Linked DNA regions of Caenorhabditis elegans. The protein of the gene in region 2 purifies or fractionates together with the protein of the main gene of each other region. This does not show direct contact. Each region holds a gene or a part of one and is shown on either strand. Other genes may lie near its edges.

The links.
Region 1: the proteins of ran-5 (region 2) and nit-1 fractionate together in Caenorhabditis elegans (co-fractionation; one large-scale study listed by BioGRID). This does not show direct contact.
Region 3: the proteins of ran-5 (region 2) and rml-5 fractionate together in Caenorhabditis elegans (co-fractionation; one large-scale study listed by BioGRID). This does not show direct contact.
Region 4: the proteins of ran-5 (region 2) and nsun-2 fractionate together in Caenorhabditis elegans (co-fractionation; one large-scale study listed by BioGRID). This does not show direct contact.

Annotation. Positions count from the first base shown.
Region 1 is NC_003281.10:3,919,359-3,926,721, reverse strand, and holds nit-1 (CN hydrolase domain-containing protein), read right to left. Parts: upstream 4,516-7,363; 5' UTR 4,496-4,515; intron 4,462-4,495; 5' UTR 4,379-4,461; intron 4,278-4,378; 5' UTR 4,271-4,277; coding exon 4,059-4,270; intron 3,911-4,058; coding exon 3,591-3,910; intron 3,542-3,590; coding exon 3,460-3,541; intron 3,239-3,459; coding exon 2,935-3,238; 3' UTR 2,849-2,934; downstream 1-2,848. Other genes in the region: ZK1058.9 (uncharacterized protein), read left to right, coding at 604-716, 1,376-1,489, 1,545-1,646, 1,753-2,019, 2,286-2,411, 2,460-2,564, 2,612-2,723; metl-6 (tRNA N(3)-methylcytidine methyltransferase), read left to right, coding at 5,016-5,096, 5,147-5,299, 5,347-5,493, 5,542-5,697, 5,749-6,021; ZK1058.3 (putative galactose-1-phosphate uridylyltransferase), read right to left, coding at 6,084-6,392, 6,446-6,631, 6,889-7,071.
Region 2 is NC_003280.10:6,045,356-6,052,619, reverse strand, and holds ran-5 (RanBD1 domain-containing protein), read right to left. Parts: upstream 4,512-7,264; 5' UTR 4,510-4,511; coding exon 4,443-4,509; intron 4,394-4,442; coding exon 4,281-4,393; intron 4,232-4,280; coding exon 4,076-4,231; intron 4,028-4,075; coding exon 3,893-4,027; intron 3,846-3,892; coding exon 3,731-3,845; intron 3,685-3,730; coding exon 3,593-3,684; intron 3,544-3,592; coding exon 3,199-3,543; 3' UTR 2,934-3,198; downstream 1-2,933. Other genes in the region: gldc-1 (Glycine cleavage system P protein), read right to left, coding at 1-160, 214-446, 493-695, 765-1,291, 1,339-1,629, 2,025-2,180; R12C12.6 (Transmembrane protein 9), read left to right, coding at 4,753-4,956, 5,008-5,147, 5,721-6,064, 6,120-6,217.
Region 3 is NC_003279.8:1,790,614-1,799,264, reverse strand, and holds rml-5 (NAD(P)-binding domain-containing protein), read right to left. Parts: upstream 6,012-8,651; 5' UTR 6,006-6,011; coding exon 5,901-6,005; intron 5,474-5,900; coding exon 5,297-5,473; intron 4,644-5,296; coding exon 4,158-4,643; intron 3,915-4,157; coding exon 3,812-3,914; intron 3,205-3,811; coding exon 2,924-3,204; 3' UTR 2,841-2,923; downstream 1-2,840. Other genes in the region: Y71G12B.27 (Cyclin-dependent kinases regulatory subunit), read left to right, coding at 620-763, 1,614-1,826.
Region 4 is NC_003279.8:1,189,993-1,197,987, reverse strand, and holds the start of nsun-2 (tRNA (cytosine(34)-C(5))-methyltransferase), read right to left. Parts: upstream 4,831-7,995; 5' UTR 4,791-4,830; coding exon 4,546-4,790; intron 2,246-4,545; coding exon 1,896-2,245; intron 1-1,895.

The DNA.
Region 1 (7,363 bases), on a different chromosome or scaffold from region 2:
AAAAGGCAGGAAAAAATACTTCGTTAGTCTGTTCATGAATGCATCTCGACCGGGTGGAATGTATTGTTCCTTGACGGCATTGCTGAAAATTTCAAAATTCCAGGAAATAGGCAATACTCTTTGTTTGAAGCTTCTGCTACTTTTCAAGCTTGTCAAATCATAATTTCGCATTCAAAAAGTGATCCCGGTTAACTGTGATCCTACATATTTTGTTTCAAAGTTAATCGGAAAAATTACTCAATACCAAAGCTGATCAGTCATCAACTTCCTCATTTCTCCCACCACCTACACGAAATTGATACAACATATTTTTTCTTTCAAATTCGAAATTATTGTGTTGCAAAAGAGTACACCTCACCAACAATGACCCCCCGCATCCAAAAACTCTACAATTTATCCACTATTTTTGTGTTCAAACAATAGATTAAGAGAGAGAAAGACATTCTCTATTTGTAGAGGTTTTCGTTCATCTTATCCCCCTTCTTATCCCATCAGTTGCATCACAAAAGTTACTTTGTCACCAACTCGAAAAAAATCTTGCTATCAATATATTCCCTTCTGATAAACTGATAATCAATAACTTCGCAAAACTATCTAAAACATATGGTTGCTTCGTCTGTAAAACTTGACCCAATATTTGAAGATGGTCCGTTGTTACCTCTACTACCGGAGGAAAAGAACCCTCCGGGACATCGGTTTCATTCCGAACCAACTAGGTATTTAATAATTTATTGAAGCTAAAAATTATATTTTTGTGAAAAGTATCTGAAGCAAAAGTATACTTTATTTTTCCTGTGGGTCTTGAATTACCTTTTCTATACTGCGGCAGCTTATATCTCGGTTATCATTGGTTTTATCATAAAATGTTCAACTAAGGAACAAAAATATGTGGCACTTATGTTATAAGTTGAAAATTTTTTGATAAAACTTGTACAGCCTGAGGGGAATAGAGTGTATACGGCATTCTGATTGACTGTAGTGGTCAAAACGAAATCTTTAAAAAATTTTAAAAATTGATTATTCTTAATTTTGGAAATTTTTTTTTCATTTAACAAAAAACGGACCGTGAAAAGCTTCGGCCGAGAACATAATATTAACAAATTTTATCTCAGTTGCCTTTTACTTTATCAAAAAAGTTTCAACTGATATTCAACTGATACTGATACGTACGTAATATTTGTTTTCTTTGTTTTCTAAATTTTCTAACTAGAACATTTTCGCTATATTTTGAAATAGCCGAGATATGAGGCTTGCTACTGCTTCACAAAAATGTATGAACTTCCTCAAAACTTTAGTGATTAATTTCCGAAACTTTAACTCTATTTTTATATTGTTAACTATATTGTTAAAAACTCCTAAATTTTCGAATTTCCAGAGCAAACGCACTAGCCGCTGCAAAACGGCTTCTTGACGACTCCCGTGGACAATCGTGGGAGAAGTTGGCCAGAAAGTACACGTTAGGACTTGCAGCAGCGCCGTGCGTTGAGAGGTAAGTAACAAGTGGAGAAGCTGGAGGACCAAATTAAATTTTAAAAAATTTTCAGACTAACCGAAGAAGAACTCGAAGAAAGTTTGGAAACTATGCCAGAATACAACAATTATCGCTTCAACCGTAGCAGATCTGTCGATCTCAGCTCGATTTCTAGGTATGTTTTGGAATTTCTTCGAAATATTTTTTTGAATATGTGTGGAAGTTTTTGCTTTGTAAAATAATCAAGAGCGGAAGTTATAAAACTAAACTTTATTTTTCAGGGAAAAATACCTGTCAAGATGGTCCAGAGAGAACACACCAGTTGACAATGAGAAGAGATACGCTTCTCATGTCCGTCGCAGTTACACTCCAGTTCGTGAAATTTCCGCCGTCAACAATGTGAACGACGGAAATTTGCATCGTTCAAGAACTCCATTGGCAACCGTAACAGCTCCATATCACACAAACATTCATTATCGATCGGAAAACGAACCATTCAGGAAATATGATGTTTATGGATTGAGAACCTGGAGTTATCCTATTTATAAGTAAGTCGTTGGGGTTTTTTTTGCGGGTCAAATGCTGCTTTTCTGTTCCTGTTGTTCCGAAATGTTTTTGACAAACTTTACATCTCTAGAAGATTTTCTGTTCAAAAAAATGTTCTGCATCTTCTCTTTTCTAGTGTAACATCTAGAGTTCAAGGCGTCAAAATGTCAATCGAAGAAATAAAAAAAGAAGCTAGGATATTCTTTTTTATTGGGCAAGAACCACAGAGCACATTAAAATGCAAAAATTGTTTGATTTTTCATTTCAGATATGTGTACGGACGAGAGGGAGACTACAGACGGCCATATTCATTTGATAGGAATTATGGATTAACACCCAGCTACACGCCTCCGCAGTTGACCGCTGAAAGTCGACCGATAACAACCAGACGAGGGTAAGAATTCCATTTATACCTGTATCTAAAATTTTCAAATTGTTTCAGATACTCCGGCTATTCCTATCTTGCCAATGAAACACATTATGACATCACCAGCCGCCCGAAAAGTTTGAGCTCCTACATGTACAGTAACAAGTATCTCGGAACCACGTGAGTATTTTTTGCACGTAGATAATGATGCATAGAGTCCGTTACAGAGCTGCCCCATGGTACTGGTCATGTTATGGAAACAGTGGTCTTCGTCACTTCAACAGCTATCGCCCACACAACTATACAAGCTCAACCGCTAGCTGGTCTCGTTATTATTAATGAATTTTCCTCCAACTTTTGTCCTCTTCTTCTTCATCGAATCGATCGATTTTTCCTTCCCCTGCCACGTCATCGCTTAATCATTTTCTGCTTTCCCCCTTTTATTGCGATCGACACAAAAAAAATTCACACAAAAATTGTTTTATTTGTAAATTCATTGGACCTTGAAGTCACACCTCCAAGACTAGAACAATAAATTTTGAAATTAAATTCACTTCTTAACTACTGTACTCTGTGAATTCTCATTGACCTTCAACTGGAATACATCCGGCCTACTGTAGTGTCCGACGACGTCTAAATCCATTTTTCCAAGAGCTAAATCAGAAAGATCGAATTCCGTGTAGCGAATCGTTTCTTTTGTGAAATCTGGCTCCACGAGCACAGTTCCAAGTGGATCAACTGCGCATGATCCACCGCGAATCAAGACTTTATCTTCACCGTGTTCTTTTCGAAGTGGGTGATCCAAGGGATAGTCGGAGGATTTGAGGAATTGACATGCAGATACTACGAAGCATCTGGAAGAAAATATTTGGGAGAATTCGAAGTTTGAACGGTCAGGGGCCGAAAACGGTCTGGGGTTCCAAAATTGGAGGTGAAGACCCATCAAGTTTGAGATAAAGTATTCTAAAATTTGGGCCAAGGGACTCGAAATTTAGAGTCAAAGATCTCAAAATTTTGGATCGAGAGGTTTCAAAATATGTGGCTAGGCAATTTGAAGTCAAGGGTCTTTACTAACCTTCCTTCTAATGCAATAGTCCTCATGGTAGAGAGCCAGACATCTCTATCGTCGACAGTTGGAGCTAGATAGATTTGGATTTCTGAAATTAATTATTTCTTGAATTTAGGTGTTAAATTAAATTTACTAACCTTTACTGTAAAGCGTCATTCGATATAATGGCATATAATTCTCCCAGCAAATGGCACTTCCAATTTTTCCAACACTTGTACTAAACACAGGCATTGTTGAACCATCACCTTGTCCCCAAACACATCTTTCTAGAGCAGTTGGCAAGAGTTTTCGGTGCTTTCCAAGGTAACCGGAGGGTGAGTAAAAGAATACAGAGCAGTATAAGGTTGAAGCTTCTCGTTCAACTACTCCGATTACAATATGGATATTATTCTGAGCTGCTAGAGATTCGATGAGCTTCGATTCCTCGCCGTTCTCTTCGATGGCGTTTTCGAAGTATCTATAACAGAAAAGTTATGCCTCGGCCGATTGTGAAGACATCAAAAAAATGTAGAAAAAGAAATGGCACATATTTTGTCAGTTGACAATTTTGTGATAAAACAAAAGACACTCGAGTTGTATGTGATTTCAAAGTTTGGTCATCCCACCTTTTAAACTCTTTCCTTCCTTCTGGAGTTCGTGTGCCCATTGTGATTCCAAAGCTGTTCCATTTTGGATATCCACCAATAAAAGCTTCAGGAAAGAGCACTAGTTCAGCTCCATTTCCAGCTGCTTCTTCCACATTTTTCTTAACTTTTTCCAGAGTTGCTGGTTTATCAAATAGTGGGGTCCCCGCTTGAACAATTGCAATTTTTGGCATTTTGAATCTGAAAAAAGGAGCATAGGGTTTGAAAAGAAGGATATTTTTCAGCTAAATTTGCTTCGTGGCCGAGCTTTCCATTTTCGCGGCCACAAATAAAAAGCCCACCTGGCCACCTATGCAGCTGAAAATACTGTCTGCACAGATGTTTTAAAAAAGTATGAAACCAAGAAAAAAAGCTATGGGATGTTACAAATACTAAAAAATGTATTCTTTTTATATAGCGACCAACAAGTCATCAAAGGCAAAAATGAACTCGGCATGGTCTGGCTGACGAAATGAAAATGATGACAATTAGTGATATGATAAGAATGTTTTCTTTGAGGGTTCATCGATGAGATTGTAAATTGTCACGTAGGCAAGTTCAAAATATCATTCATTAAAAGATGATGATGATCTATTGTTCTATTCTTTTGTAGTCACTTATAGTTTGCCTGTAGCAAATTGGGTTGTTTCGAGGGGACATTGAAGCGACAAGATCAATATTTTATGAACATTGCTCAAGAATGTTTGCTTAAATATTTATTTTGAACGAAAATGTCTATTTAGTCGCTTTTAATTGTTGAATTCAGATTTAAATTGGAAACTGTGATTTAAACTTCCGCGCAAAACATAGCGGGAGATCGGAGCGTCGTTGAAATTTTGTACTTTAATTTTTTTTTGTTTTTTTTTCATAATTTCCTCTTTTTTTTCTTTTTTCCTTGCTTTTTCCACACTAGTGTAAGCTTAAAATTTTCCAGAAAACATGTCAGATGATGGGGGCTTTCTTTCAAGTCAAAGTTCAAGGGAATTAACAGAAGATGACCATGAAAAGCTGGCAAAACAGGTATTTAACTAAAACTGTATTTTTAAAAACGCTTAAAAATGAATTTTCAGACGAGTATAAGCGATTTCAAGCGAAATAAACTGGAAATTGACGCTCGAAAAAATTGGGACAAATTCTATCATCGAAATAAAAACAATTTCTTCAAGGATCGGAATTGGAGTGCAGAAGATCTGAAAATGATGTGCCCAGACATAGATTTCGAGGTTTTAATTCTGAAATTGCACTGAAAAATTTTTAATTTTCATTTAAGAAAGAAATCTCCTATCTGGAAGCTGGATGTGGCGTCGGCAATATGCTTTTCCCATTAGTCGCTGAAATTCCAAATCTGAAACTTTTTGCATTCGATTTTTCGGACAACGCGGTGAAATTGTTGGAGGAACGCGCAAAAGAGCTTGAAGTATGTGCAAAAAACTCTGATATGAAACGTTTAAAATTAAATTTTCAGCTTTCCGTAGCAACATCTGTCGTGGATTTGTCAATTCCTTCAGTTTCATCTCCATTCGAAGAGCAAGTTGATCTTGCTACACTTATTTTTGTGCTATCCGCGATTCATCCCGAAAAACATCAAATTTCAGCGGAAAATGTAAGAAAAATGATAAAAGTGAGTGCTTTTTTAATTTCCAGCAACATAAAATTGGAATTTTTGTTCCAGATTGGAGGCTCTGTTGTAGTCCGGGATTACGGTATCAATGATCACGCTATGATTCGTTTCGGCCGGGAAGCAAGAATTTCCGATCGATTTTATGTTCGACAAGACGGCACCAGAGCTTATTATTTTGATTTGAATGAGCTTTCGGAGGTTTTTGAAAAATCTGGATTTCGATGTGTTCGGAAGGAGTATCTACATAGAATGACGGTTAATCATCAAAAAGGCCTGAAAGCTCCGCGGATTTTTGTGCAAGCCAGGTTTATTAGAGAGAGTTAATTGTTTTTTTTCAAATGTTTATTCGATTGTTTTGTTCTTGTTAACTAAAGTTGTTAATAAATTTATTGCAATTTCTTTGAATAATGCTCTTCATCGATCTCGCTCAGCGTTTTTGCAGCAATCTCCGGCGAAAGATCCCGTTGTTTTTCAGCAAAAACTTCATATCCAGCAAGGAATTTCGGAACAGTCGCCGAACGAAGAAGTGGCGGGAAGAATGACAAGTGGAGCTGCCAAAATGAGCAATTTTCAGTCAGAAAAGAGCCAGTTGGGGCTCCAGACCATCCCATCATGTAGGGAAATGAGCATTCAAAGACATTGTCGTACTTGATGAGTAGAGAACGAAGAATTTCAGAGAGTGATTGCTTTTCAACCTGGAATAGCGGAATTTTTGCCATTTTTAAATTATAATTTCAAATTTACGAACCTCTCCCAAATCAGTGAATCGTTCCACGTGTCGATTTGGTAGAAGCATTGTCTCATACGGCCAGAATGCCCAGTACGGTACGAGCCAAGTCCAGTGCTCATTTCTCATGATTATTCGTTCCTTTTTTAGAGTTTCCTGCTCCAGATAGTCCATCAGCATAACCTTCCCGTGCTTTTCGAAATGTTTCTGAAATATATTAATTTATTCTACCGGTTTTTGAAATGCCCCGCAAAAAATTATGTACGTTTTTTTTAGAAGTACAGTAACCCATTCCGAAATTTTCTTAGATTTTACTATTTACGATTTTTAAAATTGTAAGTGTCATATTTTGTTTCAAAACTACATTGGAAATATGAAATTCAAGTAAAACTGCAAAGAAGTGAGGTTACTGTACTTCTTAAAGGCGCAGCTTCGGTTTTCGAACTTCAAGTTCGTGGCGAGACCTTTTGACTCTCATGCTTCTTCATTGGCAGCGTCGGAAGATAATTTGACGCCCACAGTTGCCCATGTGGATGCATATTCGAACATCCGACAACTGCTCCACGATTTTCGAAGATTTGAACCCATTCGTATTTCGGGCCGAGCTCCAGATATTGTTGGTTCCAAATGTCAATGACAACGCGGACCTGAACATTAATTTTTAGATGTAGTTGGGCTCATACTTGGAAATGGGAGAATAGCCGTGAAATCTCTACCTCGGCATGTGTAGATTTACGCAGCTCGTGTACTCCCCGAGGAGAACTGTTTTGGAACGGAATATAACAGTTTAAACTTCAGTTTTCGGCTTGATCTCTTAATTTCAGATAATTTTCGCCATTCGTAAGCTTTCAATTTAGTGTTTAACTGATGAAAATCGAAAATTAATAAGTTTTTGTTAACGATTTTTCCCTGCAGAAAACAAATGAACACTTCTCCTCG
Region 2 (7,264 bases):
AAACATCCTTATTTTCCAATCGTTTCATATATCGAACAAGCTGTTGTTCACTCTGATGAGTATTAAATACCGGATGTTGAAGGAATAGTGATGATCTAGAATGTGGTGAGTTTCCAATTAATGGGCATGCAACTTCCCAACGTTCTTCACGAAGCTTGGTCTAAACATATAAATGTGATAGTCTTTCTTCTACATCTCGAGTCAAAAACTAACCACATCCTTTTCTGTGGCTCCATTCAATGTGTAGATGATATCCATAAGATCTTCAGATTTAACAGTCTCATCCAATGAAACTCCGATATCTCCATCTTCATAATAACGGAAGTTCATCTTCATTTCCTCGGCTCTCTTTTTCGTTTCTTCAAGAGCGGCTTTATCCTTCAGACGGATTTTCAAAGTATCAAAGTAGTCCTTGTGTACAATTTCGTGACCAGCATTTCGAAGATCTAAATTAAAGATTTAATGAATATAGTAACTTACATAGTAACTTACGGTAAGCAAGATATGCAGTTGATTTGTGAACTCCTCTGGCAATTTCAGTGAGTCTTTGTGGACCATGATAGACTGCGTACATAGCTGACATATTAGCAAGAAGAGCTTGAGCAGTACAAATGTTACTGGTTGCCTTATCACGACGAATGTGTTGCTCACGGGTTTGAAGAGCCAGGCGAAGAGCACGATTTCCATTTGCATCCCTGAAAAAAGAAAAGTTTAAATGTGAAGTCTTGGTGATAGGTTGATCCCAGAAATTGGTTACCACTTACTTAGTAACTCCAATGATTCTTCCTGGAATATTTCTTCCCAATGCATTCTTCGCATCATGCTTAGCGACAGCCATAAATCCAGCGTGTGGTCCTCCATAACCCAATGGAACTCCAAATCGTTGAGCCGATCCAACAGCAATATCTGCACCAAGATCTCCTGGTGATCGGAGAATCGTTAACGAGAGCAAGTCGCACACCATTATCACCAATGACTTATTCTTGTGAGCACTTTCGATCAACTCGTCGAATTGATGAATTCTTCCTTCAGTATTCGGATATTGAACAACTACAGCAGCTACTTTATCATCAAACGCATATCCTTCAATTGAATCAGAAACTTCAATATCTATTCCAAGTGGTCCACTACGAGTTCTGATTACATCAAGATTTTGTGGATGACAGAATGAGTCAACGACAATTTTGTTTCTCTTTGTAGTTCTAGCAGCCAGTGCAACTGCTTCTGCAGAAGCTGTGGCTTCATCCAAAAGAGATGCATTGGTTGTTGGGAGACCAGTCATTTCAGCAATCTTCAAACATAATATATTAGACTCATAGGCATCAAACCATGCCTTACCATAGTCTGGAAGTTTAAAAGAGACTCAAGTCTTCCCTGTGAGATTTCTGCTTGGTATGGAGTATACTGGGAGATCCATCCAATATTTTGAAGGATATTACGAGAAATGACAGCTGGCACAATTGTATCATAATATCCCATTCCAATATAAGATCTATAAATCTTGTTCTGTGCTGCAATTGCTTCCAACTCTTTGAGCATCTTGTATTCGTCAAGTGGTGCTGGAAGCTCTAGAGCCTTCTCTGCTTTGATCATATTTGGCACATTGGTTCCGGTGAGATCATCTAGATCCTGTAATTTCAAGGTTATTATGAGACAGAATTCTCAGGCGTTTCTAACTTCAGAAAATGCATTAAACAAAATAGGAGATACAATGCCAACATCGCAAATTATTTTTGCGGGACATATGGTCCCCGGTCTCGACATGGTCGAAACTTTTTAGCTACCGTATCAAAAAGTATTTAGCAAAGTTTTTCTGAAGTAATTAAAGTTTTGCTCGATTTTAACGTGTTTTCAATCAAAAACCTGAAAATATTCGGATCATTATAAAATTGCGAAATACTCGCGGATACGGTAGAAAAACTTCCGATCGTGACGAGACCGTATGTCAGCGTAAAAAATCGTAAACTTCTGCAGCTGCGTAATAACTGTGTATACCATTAGTAATGGAAAATCAAGCCACGAACTTTGTATCCAATAAAATCGAGCATTTGTTGCTGCTCCAATCGTCTTGGTCCAATATGTCTATCAACAAAAGCATCATATTGAAGGTGTCGTACAATCATCGGACGTCGAAAAGCAACACGCCCGACGGCAAGTAATCCTCGTCCAAGGAGAACCATTTTGGAGATGAGTGAAGGTTCTAGATTCACGAGTAGTAAAATGAAATGAAACAAGAATGTAGAAATGGCAGGCAAAGAGAATTTATTCCGAGAAAAAATATTTAAAATAGTACAAATCGAGAAATATCGTGGGTACACGTGTACTCCAATTGTTGATAAGATAAAAAAAATTCGACTTTTGATTTTATGATATTAAACGCCCGACGCGTGGTTAGATATTATGGGATAATTTCAAACTTTGAACTTCAAAGTTTAAACTTCAAAACTAAATTCAAAGGGGTTTATTACAAAGACGCCAAAAAACCGGTACCGGGTCTCAACGCGACAACTTTTTATTAAATGCAAGAAGGTGTGTGCACCTTTAAGGAGTACTGTAACTTCAAACTCTCATTGATGCGGAATCGATTTTTCCTCTAGATTTATAAAAATTGAAGTGTTTCGGTGTTATTTTAGAGTTTATAAATAAATTGATACAATTTTTTTTTAAGTATTAAAAATTGTCGTGACGAGACCGGCTACCGTATTTTAGGTGCAAAAATCGCGTTTGTTATACTCAAAATTGATATTTAACTACAAAAAAATCTTCTCCTACTGAAACAATGCTACAGAATTGACAAGGTGATAAATGATCATGGTGTTGCCAATTGAATTCTGAATCGATCACCCCACAACGATCGTTATCTCGCTCTCCTCCTCCTTCAGTAAGAGCGCCACTGATAACCGAAACGCCATTGTCTAAGTGTCTTCTTGATTGTATTTCTGCTTTTTATTGCAAACTCTTCTCTTTTTCACAAACCAAATATATTCGACAAACACATAAAACGGGATATATAAGAATAAAACGAAATTGGAAAGTTAGGCCAGATTGGTAGAAATCTAGAAGAAATTTTTAGCAATAAAGAAATTAGACTTAAGGGGAAATGATTTGAGTTGGGTGAAAGTTGGAGACCATTTTTGTGGGGATTGGAAGGAGAAAAAAGAGCACAGGGGAAGTTGAAAGAAGCAATGACTGATATGGTTATTCGGAAGGAGTTGAGCTGGATGCAGATTCTTCGGCAGCTGTAACAGCTGGTTTTTCTTCTTTCACCTCATCTTCTGTTGGCTTGTTTACAATGACAAATCCTTCATCAACTTGATCTTGATCACCTTCTTCTTCTTCCTTTCCATCCTTGATTTTAACAGTTGAAGCGTTCAGATCACAATCCGCTTTCCTCTTCCGACTATTCTCTCCCTTCTCCAATTTCAGCAGGTCGCTCATAATATTGTAGAATATATCCGAATCGGGGATCGTCTCAGTTTTGGTGAATCCGATTTTTAGAAGGAAAATCTGAACACCGCTGATCTCTGGTCCCATTGCGGAAATCTGTAAACAGTAACAATAAAACATATATTCATATAACATTAAAGCTCACTCGAATTCTCTTGTCGACCCGCTCCAAAAGCATATCAGAGAAAATTTTGGAATTTATGATGACACGAAGAGTACCGGAAGATGTTCTTGCCACTGAAAATAATTTTGAATACAATAAACTCTAACTATCAGTATTTACCAATTCGGTGGTGCGTCAGTCCGTTCTCGACTCGTTTGTTGATCCTGAGATTGCAGACACCCTTTTCAGAGTAGGCATTTTTCAATTTATCAAACGCCCAAATTTTGCAAGGAGCCTAAAGACAAATAAATAAAAATTATGTTTTAATGAATACTGCCTCACTTGGAAAATATTAGTATCGTTCTCTTCCCCGGTGGTGATTTCGACTGAACTCGTTCCGGCATGCTGCTTTTCGGCTTCCTTTGCTCTCTCCGCTTCTTGTTCAGCTTCCTTTCTGAAGTTTTTGGCTCCATTTTTCTGAAATTAACATTATGAATAGAAATATTGATTCGAAATATAGATTACATCGTCATCTTTTTTAACTGCATTTTGGAAGAGCTCAGTTGCTGTCATGGTCTTTTCGTCTGAACCACCCGGCTTTGTTGAATCACCTTCTTTGTTCACAACACGATCTGATATTTTGGAGCCAAAAACAAATGCTTGTGGAGCCTCTTCGACTTCCTATAATTAGAAGAAAACGAATTTTTTGACTCATTGTGTTTCAACGAACTTTTTCATTTGCAACAGGCGCATCTGCTGATTTCGGAATAATATCGCCCAGCGATTTCTTTTCCAAATGAACGTGGTTGATTGTTGAATGAGTTGCTGTGTATTCTGTTTTGCCTGCAAATTCACGTGACTTAGATAACATAACACAAAATTGAAAACTTACTATCTGACCACAGTTTATCTGCCTTGGCAGCTAAAGCAGACGGTTTGAAAGCAAAACCTTTTGACATGACTGAAAATAGTAACGAATGAATTAAAAAAGACAAATACCGGATAGAAATTGCAAAAAAAATGCGAAAAATCGATTATTAGTATTCATGCAGACTGAAATGAAGATAATTAGCAAGTAATTTAGACTGAGAACTGAAAAATTACTCAACAAGCAGAAGAAAAATTGAAATTTAAGACAAAAATAAGTGCAAGTTTTTATTTCTTCGATTTTCGTTGTGAACATCATAAAAGTGAAACGAAGAATGCGTCAGCCATCGCGAAAAGCGCCAGTAAGTTGCACTGGCGCACTTCTTGTTTTACTTGTATTCTATTTTTCAGAGCATTTTTTATTTTCTTGCAAAAATAAAAAAAAATACAGTCCAACTTCCGTAATTTTTTCAGATTTAATGATATATTTATTTATTGCTTTACTGTTTCTTCCCGCATTATCCCAAGCAGGGACTGAGGTTTGTTTCATAACTACTTTTATAAAGATATAATTTAATAAATATTTTCAGGCTAACTTCGAAGATACACGATGTCGATGCATTTGTCCGAGTCTTTTAAAATTTCTCGACTTGGCTGAAAATACAACTGAAAAAACAGAAGGATTGAGGAGACGATTTTATACAAAAACTAACATCGAACCGAGCCATTGGTGAGTTTTTTTAATTTTAAATCTGAATTGTTTTAATAGAAAATATAAAATATCAAATCCGAATATGTAAATATCTCCTAGTCACTCTGATATTTTTTGCTAAAAATCCACATCAAAAATAACTTGGCAGAGTTATGAAATTCTCCCACCTTTATGGTATTATTTCGCTCAAAGCAATTGCAAATTTGAATTTCTTTTTTTCATCGAAATTTGAACGTTTCCGACTGTTTTATAAACGTTAAAATTTGAGAAATTTTTGTGGGAACTTTAGTCACAGTTTTAATTTTTTCTCTTTCAGAAAACCACAAATATGATTTAGAAAAACAATTATTTTTATTTTCTATTGCTGAGAATCTACATCGTTGTAAAAATTCGAATAAAAATAAATCATAACCATGAAATCTCGAATTTCTAAGTCTTTATTTTCCTTCCATTTCATCAAAAAAACATGTTGATCAGTTTTAAAACATTTTCAACACTTATTTTTTTAATTTTTTTCAACAGCTCAAATTCATCATTTACACAAATAAACCTTAAATTCGACAAAGAAATATAATTTTTCAAACATTTCAGCAAGCCAAGCAACATTGTGAAAGATCAAGTCAGTAACTTCGTTGACGAGACCCATATGGATGCATTTCTTGCAAATTGCGACTGCCGTTATGAGTCACGAAACACTGTGCTCTTAAAAGTAGTTGTAATATTTGTAATCTGTGTGATCGCTGTTTTAACGGGATACATGGTATTCCTTATGTGCCTGGATCCAATGCTCCGGAAGAAACGATTATCGATCAGTTATCAACAACATAATGATGAAATGGAGGATAATATCTTTGCTGCTGCTCCATCAACTGACGATGAATCATCTTCAGCAAGTAATTCAATGGATACACAAGGAACCACACGTGCGAGAAGTAGTAAGTGCTCCATTTGAAGATTTTATAGTTTTTACTAAAAAAGTATTTTCTTCAGATGTTCTCGGACGCGTCGAGGCCGAACAGAATCGTTGGATGAAGAAGGTCGAGGAGCAACGAAGGAATATCTTCGAAGATCATACAATGCTCAACTAGTTACTTTTCAATCAAAAGGGTTTAAAAATCATTCATAATTTATTAAAACCGTATGATGTATATTTTTGTCAAATACTTTGCCAACAATTTTTCACCTTCATAAACACTTTTCTCATTACCTGTTAAACAATGACAGTTAAATAACGGAGGGGTCAAAGCGAAATAGTGACGTCTGCGTCTCTAATCTCTTTCTTATGTCCCTGACTCGCTGTTTGTTGTGAGCGACCCGCCGCGGCGGAAGAAGTGAGAGAGATGAGGAGATTCTCGGCAAGTGCCCACATTTTCCCTCTTTTCGTTTTCTTTTTTTTTTCAATTTTCAGATCACCTTGTCGAAAAACAGCGAATAAATTAAAAAAAAAAACCATACACCTGAAAACTTATAAATCTCGTAAAATTATGACTCAAAAATTAGCCAAAGAACATTCTACAGTTTGAAGGGCATTTTTCGGAATTAGCATAATGTCGTTGTTTCTGGTCTCCGATGAGTAACCCTGAAGTTACGAAACTATTTTTCCACTTAGAAATCAGTTCGAATATGCTCAACGTATTTTATTTTACACTTTCCTGTGTTTAAAGGAGAGCGCATTAGTGCATAATGGTCTCGGAATCGAATCAAGTTGAAACATTTTGCGTGCGCGCATTTAAGATTACTGTAGAGATATTGATTATTTTCTTTGATTTTTTCATTTTCTTTATGTTCAGCATTTATTGTGTCTGATATGCAAACACAAATCGAATATATTAAATGCAAAACAATTGGGAAAAAAAAGTAAAAATCAATTTAAATGTAAGGAAGAAATCTCTACAGTAATCTTATTTAACGGCGCACCCATTTATTTGTTGACTTTTACATTTTATTTGGTGCGCGTGCCGAGACCATTTCGCATAAATGCCCCTCTTTCAAAACGCGTAAAATCGGGAATTACAGTAAGCTGATTTAAAATTATTTTTGCGAAAAAATTATCTCACCGTTTCTTTGTTATTTACTTTCATTTCACTCTCATAAAAACAAGTTATTTACTTTAGAGTCTCTATTTCATACAATTT
Region 3 (8,651 bases), on a different chromosome or scaffold from region 2:
GTATGCTAGTCAATCCGGAACATATTTTAAAAAATTGCACAATTTGACCAAAAGCTGTATTTTTCAAAAATTCAAAAGTACGCCAAAATCATATGAAGTGCTTCTTTTTTCTTTTATATTACTGTTCAGCATGATCAGAAATACCAGAAAGTATCAAAAAGAGTATGCTAGCTTGACCGGAAGATTATTTTGAAAAATTGCAAAATTTAGTTAAAATCTATTTTTTCAAAAATTCAAAAGTACTGAAAAACCATATGAAGCGATTCTTTTTTCTTTCATAAAACTGAAAAATAAATGAAGTAAATAAAACGATGCAAGCGCGCTCCAATGCGAATTTGAAAAAATTATGCGGGGGCACAAATGAAATTCGGCGATTTCAAGCTCAAATATAAAATCAGGGATTTTTTTGTTGAATTTTTTTTACATCGATATTCGGAATACTCCACGTGATTTGTAAAATAAATACAACATTTCAGAATTTAAAAAAAAAGAATTGTCCACGTAACCTTGCCCCCCCCCCTCTTCCTAATTGTTCCAACAACATTTCCAAAACTCCTCAACAATCATTCATTCCCTACTTGTCGTACAATTAACATCGAAGAATAAGAGTTTTTGAAAAATGGAAGATATCTACTATTCGCCACGTTACGAAGATGATGAATACGAATATCGCCACGTCATTCTTCCGCAAGCCGTCTCGAGAAAAGTGCCAAAGGGAAGACTTCTTAGTGAGGCTGAATGGAGACGTGCTGGAGTTCAACAGGTATATTTTCAATTAAGTGATATGTTAAGATTTTAGGAAAAAAATCGATAATTAAAAAAAATAGATTTTTCCAAAAATCGATAATTCACAAAATTGATATTTTGAAAAAGCCAATATTTTAAAATATTTTTTATTAAATTAAGCAAGGCTCCCAGCCGAGTGAGGTGCGAAATGTGGGCCTTACGCCGGCCCGATAATTTAATTGCCGGTTTGCTGATTTGCCGGAAATTCTCATGTTCGGCAAATTGCCGGTTTGCCGATTTTCCAGAAATTTTCAATTCCGGCTATGTGCCGGTTTGCCGATTTGCCAGACATTTTCAATTCCGGCTATGTGCCGGTTTGCCGATTTGCCAGACATTTTCAATTCCGGCTATGTGCCGGTTTGCCGATTTGCCAGACATTTTCAATTCCGGCTATGTGCCGATTTGCCGATTTGCCAGGAACTTTCAATTCCGGCAATTTGCCGGTTAGCCGACTTGCCAGAAATTTTCAATTCCGGCAATTTGCCAGAAATTTTCAATTCCGGCAGTTTGCCGATTTGCCGATTTCCAGAAATTTTAAACTTCGGCAATTTGCCGGTTTTTTGATTTGCCAGAAATTTTCAATTCCGGCTATGTGTCGGTTTGCCGATTTGCCAGAAATTTTCAATTCCGGCAATTGGCCGGCTTACCGATTTGCCCGAAATTTTCAATTCCGGCAATTTGCCTTTAATGAAAATTTGTTTTAAATAAACATTAATATGTTGATAGAATCGATATTTCAAGAAAACCGATAGTCATAAAATCGACGAAAAAAAATCAATATTAAATTTCTGAATGTGGCCGAATTATTGATTTTTCATACTTTTCAGTCACTTGGATGGGAGCACTACATGGTTCATAACCCGGAGAAGCACATTCTCTTGTTCCGTCGGAAGCGCCATTTCACAAAAGCCGACGAGGAGCGTGCCAAAATGGAATTGTTGAGAGATATGGAAGTGTTCAATAGAGCGCAACAGCAAACGACAGCAACCGATGAGAAATTGAACGCGGTTTTCTATGAATTTGTGAATAAAGCAGTGTAGATATTTTGTAAGACTTTGGGCTTCCATGGGTGAGCGGCGGTGCGTCTCGCGCCGGCCGGCCATCGCCGCTGTTATTTGGAAGCGTCCGACACGTTCGGGGTTCCGCGCCGCACTATACATGACTGAGGCGTCTCGCTGGTCGGCGAAGGCGCCTCGCCGGCGCAGGAATGGAAGCCCTAGTAATACCGTATGTTCAATTAAAAAGCGCCGAAAATCGATATATTACAAAAGTTGCTTTTTAAAAAATCGATATTTTGGGAAATCGATATTTCGACAAAAATCAATATTAAATGAAAATCGAAGTCATAAAAATCAATATTTTGCAACAAAACCCGTATAGAATAAAAATCTCGGCCGCCATAAAAACGAAGCATAAAGATTTTTATTTCAAATTTTATGTTAACAAAAATTACAAATTTGTTTTGAACGTAGAGTACACCAGGGGCCGGCAATTCCCGTTCGGCAATTTTTTTTGTCCACAAATTCGGAAAGTCGGCAAATTGCCAGTTTGCCGATTTGCCGGAAATTGTCATTTTCGGCAATTTGCCGGGTTGTCGATTTGCCGGAAATTTTCATTTCCGGTAAATTGCCGGTTTGCCGATTTGGCAGAAATTTTCAATTCCGTTAATTTGCCGTAAATTTTCAATTCTGGTAATTTGCCAGAAATTTTAAATTACGGCAATTTGCCAGTTTTGCCGATTTGCCGGAAATTTCAAATTGCGGCTATTCACCGGTTTGCCGATTTGCCGGAAATTTTAAATTCCGGCAATCTGCCGGTTTGTCGATTTTCCGGAAATTTTCAATTCCGGCAAATTGCCGGTTTGCCGATTTGCTGAAAATTTTAAATTCCGGCAAATTGCTGGTTTGCCGATTTGCCGATTTTCCGGAAATTTTCAATTCTGGCAAATTGCGGGGTTGCCGATTTGCCAGAAATTTCCAATTTCGGCAAATTGCCGGTTTGCCGATTTGCCTGAAATTTTCAATTCCGGCATTTTGCCAATTTGCCAGTACAACACTAATTTCAAAATTTATTGATTGAAAAAATCGCAGAAAAAGGAATGCTTTAAGTTCAAAAATAATTTGCAAAAATTCAATAATTAAATATTATTATTAAGTCCTCCAGTCTTGCATGCCTTAATCGATTCCAGCACGTTTTTATCGATTTTCTGTCCAATTATGAGCGTTTTTTCGAAATATTCCAACATTTTCCCAGTGTATCCTTTAACGGCAAGAGCTGAAGACTCTTGGCTCATAGAAGTATTTCCAAAATGGGTGAAGTGTAGGGAGAACTTTTCGGCAATACTTGCGAGAAGCCATGGAAAATAGAGATTAGTCGCCATATTGGTACGGAGAGTGAAGCAGTCGCCTTCGAATGAGTCTGGAATTTGAAATAAAAAGCTTTTTTTTGGCCCAGAATTTTTTTCTCGGTGAAAAAATATTTTAGCGAAAAAAGCTTTGATTGAATTTTGAGACAAATTTTAAGTCCAAAAAAAATTTTTTTTTTGACATTTTTGAATTTTTTTAAAGCATAAATTGACATAAATTTCGACCAAAAAGATTCTTTCGTGGCCTAAAAACTTTTTGCGGCCACTGGCTTCCCTCATAAATTGAAATGGAAGAGTTTTTGCCGAACTAGGCCATTTTGGCTCGGCCATATCTGGGGTAGATTTACGGCGCGTTTCGTGTCGCGTCGCGGCTTGATTTTAGTTGTAAAACTAAATGTGTTTGTCCGTGTGGAGTATACGACTTTCCCACACGTTTTCCGGCGGGCGATTGTCAATGGAGCGCGAAAAATTCAATGAGAAAGGCCAGAACCCGTGATTCGTGAAATTGAATTTTGAGACAAATTTTAAGTCCAAAAAAAATTGTTTTTTGGCATTTTTGATTTTTTTAGCGTAAAAAGAAAAGCATTTCCGACCAAAAAATATAATTTCATGGCCTAAAAACTTTTTGCGGCCACTGTCTTCAGCCACCAAGTCACTTACCGGTTTCATTTCCGAAATAAACCAAATGGGATGGATTGATTGTGTTAATCTCATCGATAACCGATTTATCAGTGGCTTCTTGCAGATTTGTGATTGTGGATTCCTGGAAATTAGTTAAGTTTTGACTTTTTGAGAGTTTTAAAAATTTAGAAACGAATTTTAGACACTTTTTTTGAATTTCCCGCTTAGTTTTACCCCTGGAGCAGCAAATTGTCGTAAAGTATGGTGTTTTTTTTTTTGAGGCTACCGTAATACAAAAGACGTAATTTTTAGATATTTTCTGCAAATTGTCGTAAAGTATGGTGTTTTTTTGTGGCTACCGTAATACAAAAATTTGAGATCAAACCTTGGAAACCAGTCCCTCCAGCTTTAGCAGCTCCAAAAATTGAGTTTTCAGTTCCGAATTAGCTCCGAAAACTAAGAAAATTGGCTTAAAAACTTCTTCGATGGGTCCCTGTTCCTTTACAGAGCCAGACGGGCTCCAATTCGTTTCTTTCTGAATTTTTTCAGCTGAAGAAGCCGAAATATTGTAGACCTCCGCTGGTTTTTGGCTTTGTGCCAACTTTTCAATTGCCAATAATCCACGTGTCGCGTCAGAAATCGATAAATCATCGGATACCCTTCCGATGACCATTGGAATACGATAACTGACAGCATAGCTGTGAGCCATTGCTTCAACGGACATTTGAGCTGAGCCGATGAATGTGACCGGCTCTAGAGGTTGGGTCTCGACACGATTCTTCGCCCTACCGTACACCTCGTCACCACTAATGAGAACCAGAGATGGTGGGGATGCGGATTTACGGATTGCATCGAGGATTGACGTGATTCCCTGAAAAAAATATTGATTTTTTTTTAATTCTAGGGGTTTGTCAACTGAGCGCGCGTGCTTTTACGGAAATTTTTCAAAAAAATTTGAAATTTCTGAAAATTTCTGCAATTTCGTGAATTTTCTAAATTGTTCAAAGATTTTTGGAAATGTTGATTTATTTTTAAAATATTTTTTTGTATTTTTTTTAGAATTTTAGAAAAGATATAAATTTTTCAATTTTTCTCAACCTTTTTTTTAAAGAAACCTCTGGAATTTTCTGATTTTTTTTAAAGCATTCAACATTTTCTAGAAATTTCGGACTTTCAGGTGGTGTCAGAGTGTCTCATTTTGGCTTGATCTACGTAGATCTACAAAAAATGCGGGAGAAGAGACGCAGATGGTTTAGAACGTGCTGACGTCACATATTTTTGGGGGAAAAATCCCGCATTTATTGTAGATCAAACCGTGATGGGACAGCCTGACACCACGTGGACTTCTGGAATTTTTATTTTATTTTTCAAAAAAATATTCCAAATTTTCTGATAATTTCTGACTTCCCAGGAGTTTTCTGGATTTTTTTTTTAATTTCTGACTTTACGAAATTCGAAATTTCTCTATTTTCACGTGGAGTACACCCAATGTTTGCCAATAGAGCATGTTTACTAAAACCTTACCAGAATCAATTTCTTAGCTCCTTGAATTGGCTCCAAGAGCACATCAGTTGTGGTGAGAGATGCGTCGAAAATTGTTTGGATTTTGTAATTTTCGATTAGATTTTTGATTGCTTCCTCGTTGATTGATGATAAATTGATAAGTGTGAGCGATGGATTATTGATCAGATTTGTTGGAATCTGGAAGAGAAATTTGAAATAATTAGGCCATCATGAAATTTCTCGGCCACCTGAGAATTTCTAGGCCACTCTAGCATTTTCAATGGGAACCATTTTCGCTGTTCGGCAATTTCGGTAATTGCCGAAAATTCAAAAAACCGGCAATTGCCAAAATTGCCGATTGCTGAAAAATTTGAGAACCTGCAATCGCCAGAATTGCCGGAAATAAAAATTTCATACTTTTTGTAGATTTAGGAGCCTAAAAATGCAATTCCGGCAATTCCGGCAATTTGGACAAATTTGGGCAAATTTGCCGAAATTACCAATTGCCGGAATAGGAACGTTAAACTTTTAAGGCCATTACAAGGATTTCTCGGCCAGCTGGAAAATCCTATACTACTCGATAATTAAAAATTAATTTTCGAAAATTTTGTAGGCCACCACTTACCGCCTCATTATTGTGCAGAAGAACCACATTTCTTCCGTTTTTTAGCACCGCCTCCGCAAGTTGAGTAGATATTTTTGAAATCCCGCCGGTAATCAAAACGGTCATTTTTCACTGAAATTTCGAAGGTTTAACAAAAAATCTGCAACGCCTAGCAACGGAGTGTCGCTTCACGGGGTTCTGGCCTTCCTCATTAAATTTTTCCCGCTCCATTGACAATTGCCTGCCGGACTGGGAAAGTCGTGCACTCCACACGAACGAATACATTTAGTTTTACAACTGAAATCAAGCCGCGACGCGACACGCAACGCGCCGTAAATCTACCCCGGATATGGCCTGGCCTAGTTCGGCAAATTCTTCCATTTCAATTTATGAGGGAAGCCAGAACCGCGTGTCGCTTGTCAAAGAAATTTTTTAAAATTAATTTTTTAAAATGTGTTTTGGGAAAAAAATTTTTAAAAAAAGCAAATTATTTTTCAAAAAACCGTTTCCTCAATATGTTCAAAAACCAAATTAATTTTAAGATGAACATAAATTCTCCAAAACAAAAAAAAATAGAAAGTCGAGAATGAATACAGTTTCTGTATGACATATCGCGGTCAAGGACGGCAGCGCAGAGATCGCAACGAACAGATAGAAGTGAGAGAGTATTGGTAGATGAGAGCCGCAGAGAGACATGCGAATGAAATCGAGATAGATCCAGGACATTGATTGTATACTCTATCTGCGACAATAGAAGTTTTGCAGCCACGTAGCATGAAAAACCACAGCATTCAAGTTTCGCGCGCCAAAATTCTTTCAAAAAGTTCTGAAAATTCTGAAAAACTTAAACTTACAAGGGCCAAATAAAATATATTTTAACTAAGTTCCAGACTTCTAAATAAAACCTAATTCGTTTGAAAAAAAACCCCATTCTAAATAGGCCCCTGGTGCAAAAAAAATCAGTGGCAGAGTGTCCCATTTCGGTTTGATCTACGTAGATCTACAAAAAATGCGGGAGAAGAGACGCAGAGTTCTCAACTGATTTTGCATGGTTAAGAGTGACGTCACATTTTTTTGGGCAAAAAAATTCCCGCATTTTTTGTAGATCAAACCGTATTGACGGACTGAAACCAAGTGGGAGCACAGCTTTGAGCTGCAAAAAAGTCGCTCTGAAAAATTTTCAGTCTAGTCGCCACTCTAGTCGCCAGTTTGGTCTGAAAAATTATAATTCAATTTTTAGAAAATTCTAGAAGTTTCCAGATTTTTCTAAAAAAGTTGTTTTTTTTCTCAGAAAATTTGAATTTCAGCCAAAATTTTATCACAGAAGATTTTAATTCCCACCAAAAAATTTTCCCATTAAATTTGAATTTGAAAAAAAAAAACTAAATTTTTTCTTAAACTACAGTACTCCTACAGCACCCCCTACAGTACTACTACAGTACCCCGGCTATACCCCCTACTAACCTCAAACCAATATCTCTTCAAAAGACAAAAAGTCAATTTTTCCAAAACTACAGTAATCCTACAGTACTCATACAGTACCCCTACAGTACTACTACAGTACACTGACCATATCCCCATACTAACCCTATACCAGTATCAATTCATAATATTTTTTAATATATAAATAATGATCTTCGCGGCAAATTTTTTTTGACAATTTTTTATTCAAATTTTGGCCTAAAAAATGGGCGGAGCCTAACAAGAGAAACAAGTTTCCGGAGACGTTAATTTTTGGAAATTTCTTGATTTGGGCCATAATTTTCCAGATTTTTTTTAGTACTGATTCATAAAAAAGTAAAAAATTAGCTTTATTCAAAAAAAGAAAACTTTTTTTTTTCGAAATTAATTATCCTTATCCTTATCATCGAGGTCATCATCAACTTGCAATGAGTAAAGAGCCATCACATACACGTAGAATAGAGAAATCAATCGATACGTGGCATATTTGCGAAAACGACCGAACATTCAGATAGGTGTAGATTGAATAATGAATGATTTTTCATGGAAATATGAAATTTAAAATTAAAAAAAAAACAGAATAATAAAGTATGGGAAATAATATGAACAGTGATAAGAGATCAAAAGAAAACCGCAACAATTATCACTTTTGATAACAAATTTTAAGGTTTGGTAAATTGTTGCGAAAACTGGAACAAAAAAATTGGGCAAAAATAAAAAGTTGTCTAAATTTGTTGAAAATAGGTAATTCATATATGCTGAATTCAGAAAATCTAGGTTTAACCCGTCAAAAAATTTTAAAAAGTGGCAAAAATGGGCGATTTTTGTAAAAAATCACAATTTTGAAACTCCTCTAAAATGGTTAATTTTGAAGTTAGAGGACTCAAAAAATTACTCCGAAACATAAAAAATTGCCCTTTTTCAATTTCTAGTGATTTCGAACATTAAAAAAAAATTTTTGCCCAAAAAAAAGGACAGAAAACAAATTGGGCAAAAATAAAAAGTTGTCTAAATTTGTTGAAAACGGCTAATTCATATATGCTGCATTCAAAAAATCTAGGTTTAACCCATCAAAAACTATCAAAAAGTGGCAAAAATGAGCACTTTATTGCAAAAATTTACAATCTTGAAACTCCTCTAAAATGGTTAATTTTGTAGTAAGAGGACTCAAAAAATTACTTCAAAACCTTTAAAAATTTACTTTTTTCAATTTCTAGTTGTTTGGAACATTAAAAAAAACATTTTTTGCCCAAATTTTTGCCCAATTTTTTTTGCCCAAGATGGCTGAAAAAATTGTCAAAAATATTTTTA
Region 4 (7,995 bases), on a different chromosome or scaffold from region 2:
TCATATTGCATTGACCACTTTCACCGCTGCTTGCCCACTGAATACATAATTTTTTTACTTGGAAATTGTTTTAGCATCTGCAAAAAGTATTTATTCATCAGTTTTAATAAGAAAAAACGGGAAAAAACTGTGAAAAACGAAAGAAAACAGGCGGAAAACAAAGCAGTATAAATGGCCGCTGAAACTTGTCGGCCCCTCGGCCATGGCCTAGAAACCTTTTTGCCTCGTCCCTCGTTCGAAAAAAGTTGCAGTGTGATTTTTTGAAATTTTCAGTTTTTTTTTTGGTACTTTCTGTGGTTCTTTTTTGAAAAAAAAAAGATTATTCTGAAAATTGCAAGATTTTTTCAAATTTTTGGCATATTTTCTCTGAAATATTCAAGGTTTTTTTAAATGATTTTTCAGAAATTTTGAAAGTTTGAGTTTTTTTTATAAAGGAATTTTCTGTGGTTTTTGTTTAGTGATTATTCTGAAAATTGCGGGAATTTTACTGATTTTTTCGAATTTTTTGGAATTTTTTTTCGTGAAATTTTTGCAAATTCGAGGGTTTTTGAATTTTTTTTTTGAAATTTTTGCAAATTTGTAGAGTTTTGGGAATTTTTGGTGAAATATTCAAGGTTTTTTAAAAGATTTTTCAGAAATTTTGCCAATTTTTGGGATTTTTCAGAATTATTTTCAGAAATTTTTGGCAATTTTACAAGACATTTTTCGAAAAATTTATAAGATTATTTCTGGAATTTTTTGAAAATATTCTGAGCTTGTTTTCTAATTTTTAAGTTGAAATTTACAGAATTTTTGGGATTTTTTCCAAAATTTTCAAAATGTCTTGTGAAACTTAATTTATTTTTTTTTCAATTAAAAAAAAAATAGTTTCAGAATTTTCAGCGGTTTTAGATTATTCTGAAAATTTCAAAACATTTTCAAATTTTTTCGTGTTTTCTGGAATTTTTTAGATTTTTTTTGGGAATTTTTGCAATTCTCGGGAGTTTTTAAAAAAAATTTCAGAAATTTTCGAAAAATGTGTAGAGATTTTTCTAACATTTTTGAGATTTTATTTTCGAATTTTCCATGAGTTTTTTGGATTTTTTCCGTTTCTTTGCAAAAAATTGGCTGATTTTTTGAAATTTTCAGCTTTTTCTCGAGAATTTTCTGTGGTTTTTTGAAAAAAAGATTATTCTGAAAATTAGAGATTTTACTGATTTTTTCGAATTTTTAGGATATTTTTCGTTAAATATTCGAGGGTTTTTAGATTTTTTTTTTTGGATTTTTAATGAAAATGTGTGCCAATTTTTTTTGAGTTTTTGGGGACTTTTTTTGTGTAATATTTTGAGAATTTTACTGATTTTTTCTTTGAAACTTTGCCTATATTTTTGCCAATTTTTTGAGCTTTTTTTCGAATTATTTTCTGAAATATTCGAGGGGTTTTGGATTTTTTTTTCGAATTTTTTAAATGAACTTTTCGGCATATTTACAAAATGTTTTTTAGTTTTTAGGATTTTTTTCAAAAATTTTCTTTTTTTTAATTTTTTTGTTTGGTCTGTTTGGTCTTGTGAGATTGTTTAGAATTATTTTTAAAAAATTGTCTTCGTGAATTTTCTGGAATTTTAAAGATTTTTTTTTAATGAAATTTAAATTTTCACTAATTTTTCAGAAATTTTCGAAAATTTTATGAATTTTTTTGCGATTTTCTGAAACTTTTTGGAAAAAATTTCGTTGATTTGTACTTTTTTTTTTAATTTTCGGGAATGCGGTTTCCGATTTTTATGAAAATTACGAGAATTTTATTGATTTTTTTTCGAAATTTTTTTTTTCGAATTTTCAGAAATTTTCAAGAATTTTTTTTCGATTATTCTGAAAATCACTAATTTTTTTTGGAATTTTTTCGGCGATTTTCGTACTCGGATTCTCCTCGTTCTCATGAATCATTTCCAAAAGTTGTGTGGTCTTGCTTCCCGGAGCCGCACACAAATCAAGCACAAAATGCTCAGAAGTTGGAGCCAAAAGAAGTGGTGGAATCATTGAAACCGCCTCCTGTCGGGACAAATTTCCGAGTTCAGCCTCTGTGACAAGGAAATTGTGAAGTTGTGCAAGGATCGGATGACTTCGGACAGCGGTACGTGACATTGGCGTTTGATAGGCTTCTTTGTACCATGGAAGACTTTTTGGAACACATACAGCAGTGTCTCCGGCTTCCATGATTTTCCCGAAAAATCGATTTTCCATCTCATGGATCAGCTGCTCGCGGTCTCTGTAAACAAGTTTTTTTTTGTTGAATTTTCAGTTGAAAATTTCATCAAAAATTTCGGAATTTTTGAGATTTTTTTGGGGGAATTTTTAAATGAAATTTTTGCCTATTTTTCAGAGCTTTCAGGATTTTTTGGATTTTTTCAGAATTTTTTTTTGAAAAAATTGAATTTTTCGTTAATTTTTAGGAACCATTTTGAATTTTCGACAATTTTCTTTTGATTTTTTAAATTTTTTATTAAATTTCAGCGAAAATTTTTTATATTTGGTCAGTTTTCTGCAAGATTTTTCAAACTTTTTCGTTAATTTACCACTAAAAAATTGAATTGTCCATCAGTTTTTTGCAAAATTTTTGAATTTTGTTAAATTTTTTCGTTAAATTTCGGCAAAAAAACACTGAATTTCCCGTCAGTTTTCCACTAAAATTTTCAATTTTTCATCAGTTTTCTGCATGATATTAAAATTTTTCGCTAATTTTTTGGAAAAATTTGGAATTCTCGTTGATTTTTCACCAAACATTTTTTTTTCGTTAGTTTTCTGCAAATTTTTGTAATTTTCAGTTTAATTTCAGCAAACATTGTTAATATTTCGTCAGTTTTCTACTAAATTTTTAACATTTTTTCGTTATTTTTCTTTGCAAAATTTTTGAATTTTTTGTTAAATAGTGTTCAAAAATTTCGAATTTTTCATTAAATTTCGGCAGAAAAATTCAATGATTTTTTTTGATTTTCCTCTAAAATTTTGAATTTTTCGTCAATTTTCTGCAAAATTTTTTTAATTTTTCGAGGCACCACGTTTTGAAGATCTGTTCAAAAACAAGATCTACGAAAACAAGATCTACGAGAAGGAGATCTACGAAAAGAAGATCTACGTTTTCAGGATCTGGCACCGTGCCAACTGCGGTTTTCTCGATGAAAAACGTAACAACGATGCTCCGATGTTACGCGTCGCGTGTTGTTTAGCGTTCAGAAAGATATTTTTTGAAATTTTCTTCTAGAAGAAACGCTTAACAACACGCGACGCGTAACATCGGAGCATCGTTGTTACGTTTTTCATCGAGAAAACCGCAGTTGGCACGGTGCCAGATCCTGAAAACGTAGATCTTCTTTTGGTAGATCTTGTTTTTGGATTTTTCGTTAAATTTTAAGTTTTCCAACAGTTTTCTGTGAAATTTTTTAAAATTTTCGTTGACTTTTCCACTGAAATTTTGAATTTTCTAACAGTTTATTCGCAAAATTTTTACTAAAACCCTTGGAAAATCAGATTTTTTACAGTTTTCCCCAAATGTTTAGAGGAAAAGATGGAATTTTAATTTGTTTAAATCAAAAATATCCAAATTTTGGGTTTTTAAATATCCAAATTTTGAGCTAAAAAACCTTAAAAATTCAGTTTTTCCTCCAAAAAATTCGTCGAAAATCAATTTTTTTTCTAATTGTTTTTGAGCAAAAAAAGAATCACAAAATTGGAGCGTTTTAGGCCAAATTTTTTGAATTTTACGTTGAAATTCATAATTTTAACTGAAAATTCGTGGAAAATTAATTTTTTCACAGATTTTTTGTCCATCCAATCAATTTTCAAAAAACGAACTTATGACAACCCTGAAATCTAAAAGAAACAGGCAAATTGCTCCAATGGAAAGACATTCTGCTCTTTATATGTTTTTTTCTGAATTTTCAATTAAATTTCCGCAAAAATTTGGAATTTTTCGTTGAGTTTATACAAAAATCTGAATTTTTATCAGCTTTCTGCAAAATTTCGAAATTTCCGTTAATAATTTCATAATTTTCGTCAAATTTTTCACTAATATTTGAAATTTTCTGATAATTTCCGGGAAAATTTAGAATTTTTTGCAGTTTCTGCGAAATTTGCAAAAATTTTATTTTTTTTTTGTTAATTTTCCAAAAATTTTTCAAATTTTCCGGTAATTTTTTTTAGAAATTTAGAATTTTTTGTCAATTTTCAAATTTTTAATTAAATTTCAGCGAGAATGTCCATTTTTTTTTGCAAAAAATTGAATTTTTCATCAATTCAATGTCGGTAAAAAATTTTTTGAACTTTTTTAGCAAAAAAATTGAAAAAAATCAGAATGTCTGGAAAATTTTTCAGTTCTTTCTCTGAAAATTCGTGGGAAATCAATTTTTTTCTAATTGTTTTTGAGCAAAAAAAGAATCACAAAATTGGAGCGTTTTAGGCCAAATTTTGTGAATTTTACGTTGAAATTCATAATTTTAACTGAAAATCCGTGGAAAATTAATTTTTTCACACATTTTTTGTCCATCCAATCAATTTTCAAAAAAAACGAACTTATGACAACCCTGAAATCTGAAAGAAACAGGCAAATCTCGTTGAAGAGCCGCCCGAAACTCGTCAAATTGCTCCAATGGAAAGACATTCTGCTCCTTATAATATTGCCAATACTTTTCATTCTCCTTCTCCACCATACGATATCCCTGATTGCCTGGAGCATCACGATCGTCACGCCAAACATTTTCTCTCGGCTCATGGCCCTTATTCTTGCTCTTGAACTTGCGGCGGCTACTGTGAACCATCGTTTTTGGCGCGTTTTTTTCTAGCGGCGAACGTTGAACCCTGAAATTTTGAGAAAAATTGCAAATTTTCGGGTTTTGTTAGTAATTTCTATTGAGAATAAATTTTGGAAAAAAATCCCAAAAATTCTGTAAATTCCCTGAGAAATTTCCGAAATTTTTTTTGTAAAAATTGTCCTGTAAAATTGCCGGAAATTTCAGAAAAAAAATTCTGAAAAAATCCAAAAACTCAAAAAGTTGGCAAAAAATTGTAAAATCTTTTCAAAAAGAACCCCCAGAAAATTGTCGAAAAAATATTAAATTTCAGAAAAAAATCTATAAAATTCTCGAAAATTTCTGAAAAATCAAAAAATAAACTTTGAATATTTCACTATAGGAAAAAAAAAGAAATTTTTGAAAAAAAGACTCTGAAAAACAATTTTTAAATTCCTGTTGAAACCATTCCTTCACAAAAATTTCTATTTTTTGCCAATTTTTTGAATTTTTTTTTGAAGTGTTCTCCAATTTTTCAGATTTTAAGGATTTTTTTTCGTAAAATATTCGAGGTTTTTATGGATTTTTTCAGAATATTTTAATGAAATTTTAGCCAATTTTTACAGATTTTTTGCGATTTTTTTTGTGAAATATTCAAGGTTTTTTAAAAAAGATTTTTCAGAAATTTTGAGCTTTTTTTAAAAGAATTTTCTGTAGTTTCTGAAAAAAAAGATTATTCTGAAAATTGCGGGAATTTTACTGATTTTTGTTCGAATTTTTGGGATATTTTTCGTGAAATACTCGAGGGTTTTTGGATTTTTTTTTCAGAAATTTTCGTTTTTTTTCAGATTTTTAAAAGAATTTTTCTGTTTCTTTTTTTTAAAAGGAAATTGTAATTCCTTCTGCAAAAATATTTTTAGAAATAATTGGAACTTTCGAGCATTTTACTGCATTTTTTCGAATATTTTTCAGAAATTTTTGCCAATTTTCGGGAATTTTTTTTGTGAAATATTCAAAGTTTATTTTTTGATTTTTCAGAAATTTTCGAGAATTTTACAGGACAATTTTTACAAAAAAAATTTCGGAAATTTCTCAGGGAATTTACAGAATTTTTGGGATTTTTTTTTTAATTTTCAAAAAGATTTCGAAAATTTTTCAGATTTTTTTTGTTTGGTTTGAGATTATTTAGAATTATTAAAAAATTGTTTTCGAATTTTTGGGCGGTTCTAGTTTATTCTAAAAATGTCGAAAAATTTTCAGATTGTTTTCGTGAATTTTCTGGAAATTTTCAGATTTTTTTGAAATTTTCACAATTTTTCAAATTTTTTGGGGATTTTTTTAGACTTTTCAGAAATGTTCGAGAAGTTTATAAATTTTTTTCCCTTTTTTTGCCAATTTTTCGAGTTTTTGAATTTTTCAAAAAAACATTTCTGAAATTTTCGGCAATTTTAAATAGCGTTTTTTGGAAAATTTTCAGGTTTTTTAATAATTCCCAAAAATATCAATTCACTTTTTCATTATTTTTCCTTCTGCAAAAATTTGGTTTGGATTTTTTTGCCAATTTTTTCAGATTTTTTGCGATTTTTTTTGTGAAATATTCAAGGTTTTTTAAAAAAGATTTTTCAGAAATTTTGAGCTTTTTTTAAAGAATTTTCTGCGGTTTCCGAAAAAAAAAGATTATTCTGAAAATTGCGGGAATTTTCCGGATTTTTTAAGAATTTTTTTCGTAAAATATTCGAGGGTTTTTGGAATTTTTCAGAATATTTTTCCGAAATTTTTGCCAATTTTTTCAGATTTTTGCGATTTTTTCTTGAAATATTCAAGGTTTTTTTAAAAGATTTTTCCGAAATTTTTGCCAATTTTTTGCGATTTTTTTCTACAATTTTCGGCAATTTTACATGGCAATTTCTCAGATTATCTGGAATTTTCTGAAATTATTCTGAGTTTTTTTTGTTTGAATTTCTAGGTTGAAATTTACAGAATTCGAATTTTTTGTGAATTAGCCTGAAATTTTACTGAAATCATGGCAATTTTCAACGAAATTGTAATTTATTTCCAATTTTTAAGAAATTATTTCATATTCATATTTTTTTGTGAATTTTTGAGATAAATCTGAAATTTCCAGAAAATTTTCAAAATTTTTTGTGAACTTTTTTTCTGAAAATTACGAAAGGTTTAGTAAATTTTTTGAGGTTTTTCTCTGAAAATTTCGGGAATTTTATATTAGAAAAGCCTGAAAATTTCAAATAAAATTCAATTTCTCAACAAAAAAAAACAAGAAATCCGCCAAAAATTGGTGATTTTGATTTAAGATCAATATTCGAAACCCTAGAGAAAAATGAGATAAAATAGGGTAAAATTAACCAAAAAAAAGATCAAATTCAATAAAAAATAACACCAGAAATTCAAATTTAATACCACAAAAACGAAAAAGACAAAAAACACAGCAGGATAATGATTTTAAAGAAGCAAAAACCAGGAAAATTGCATTTTTAGGGGGCAAATTTGCGGGAAAAACCGGATTTTTATATGAAAATCTCAATTTTTGAGACTTTTTCTGGAAAATTGGGGGTAAAATTATTTTAAAAAAAAAACACCAAAGTTTACACATAAAAACGGGGGGAATGAGTGGTAAAAAACCGAACATTTTTAGGAAAATGATTAACAAGAAAAAATAAATTAACAATGGGAGGAATAATGTTTAAAAATGACATTTTCAGACATTTTTCTAGTTAAAAAAACTTGTAAATTTCGATATTTTTGAGACAAAACTTGGTGAAAATGTGATTTTTCAGAGAATTTTGCATTTATGTTCGCGAAAAACTGGGAAAATCTGAATTTTTTAGGATTTTCGAATTTTTTGAAAAACGATGAATTTTCGAGTGAAAATCAAACAAAAATAGTGATTTTTTCCAGAGATTTTGGGGGGAAAAACTCAATTTTCGCGCTAAAAAATTTTTTTTTTACGATTTTTGTTCTTTTTTTGTTGAATTTTCTGATTTTTGGTGGATGAACATAGTTAGAAAACTTGGTTTTTTGCGATTTTTCGAAAACTTCGGATTTTTCTCAGGGATTTTGGGAAAAATCTTAACTTTCGCGACAAAAAATTATGTTTAACGAATTTTGATGGAATAATGATGGAAAAAGGTGATTTTCTGATTTTTGGATGAAAACTATAGTTGGAAAACCTCATGTTTTTGCGATTTTTCTGAAATTTTGGATTTTCGAGAGAAAA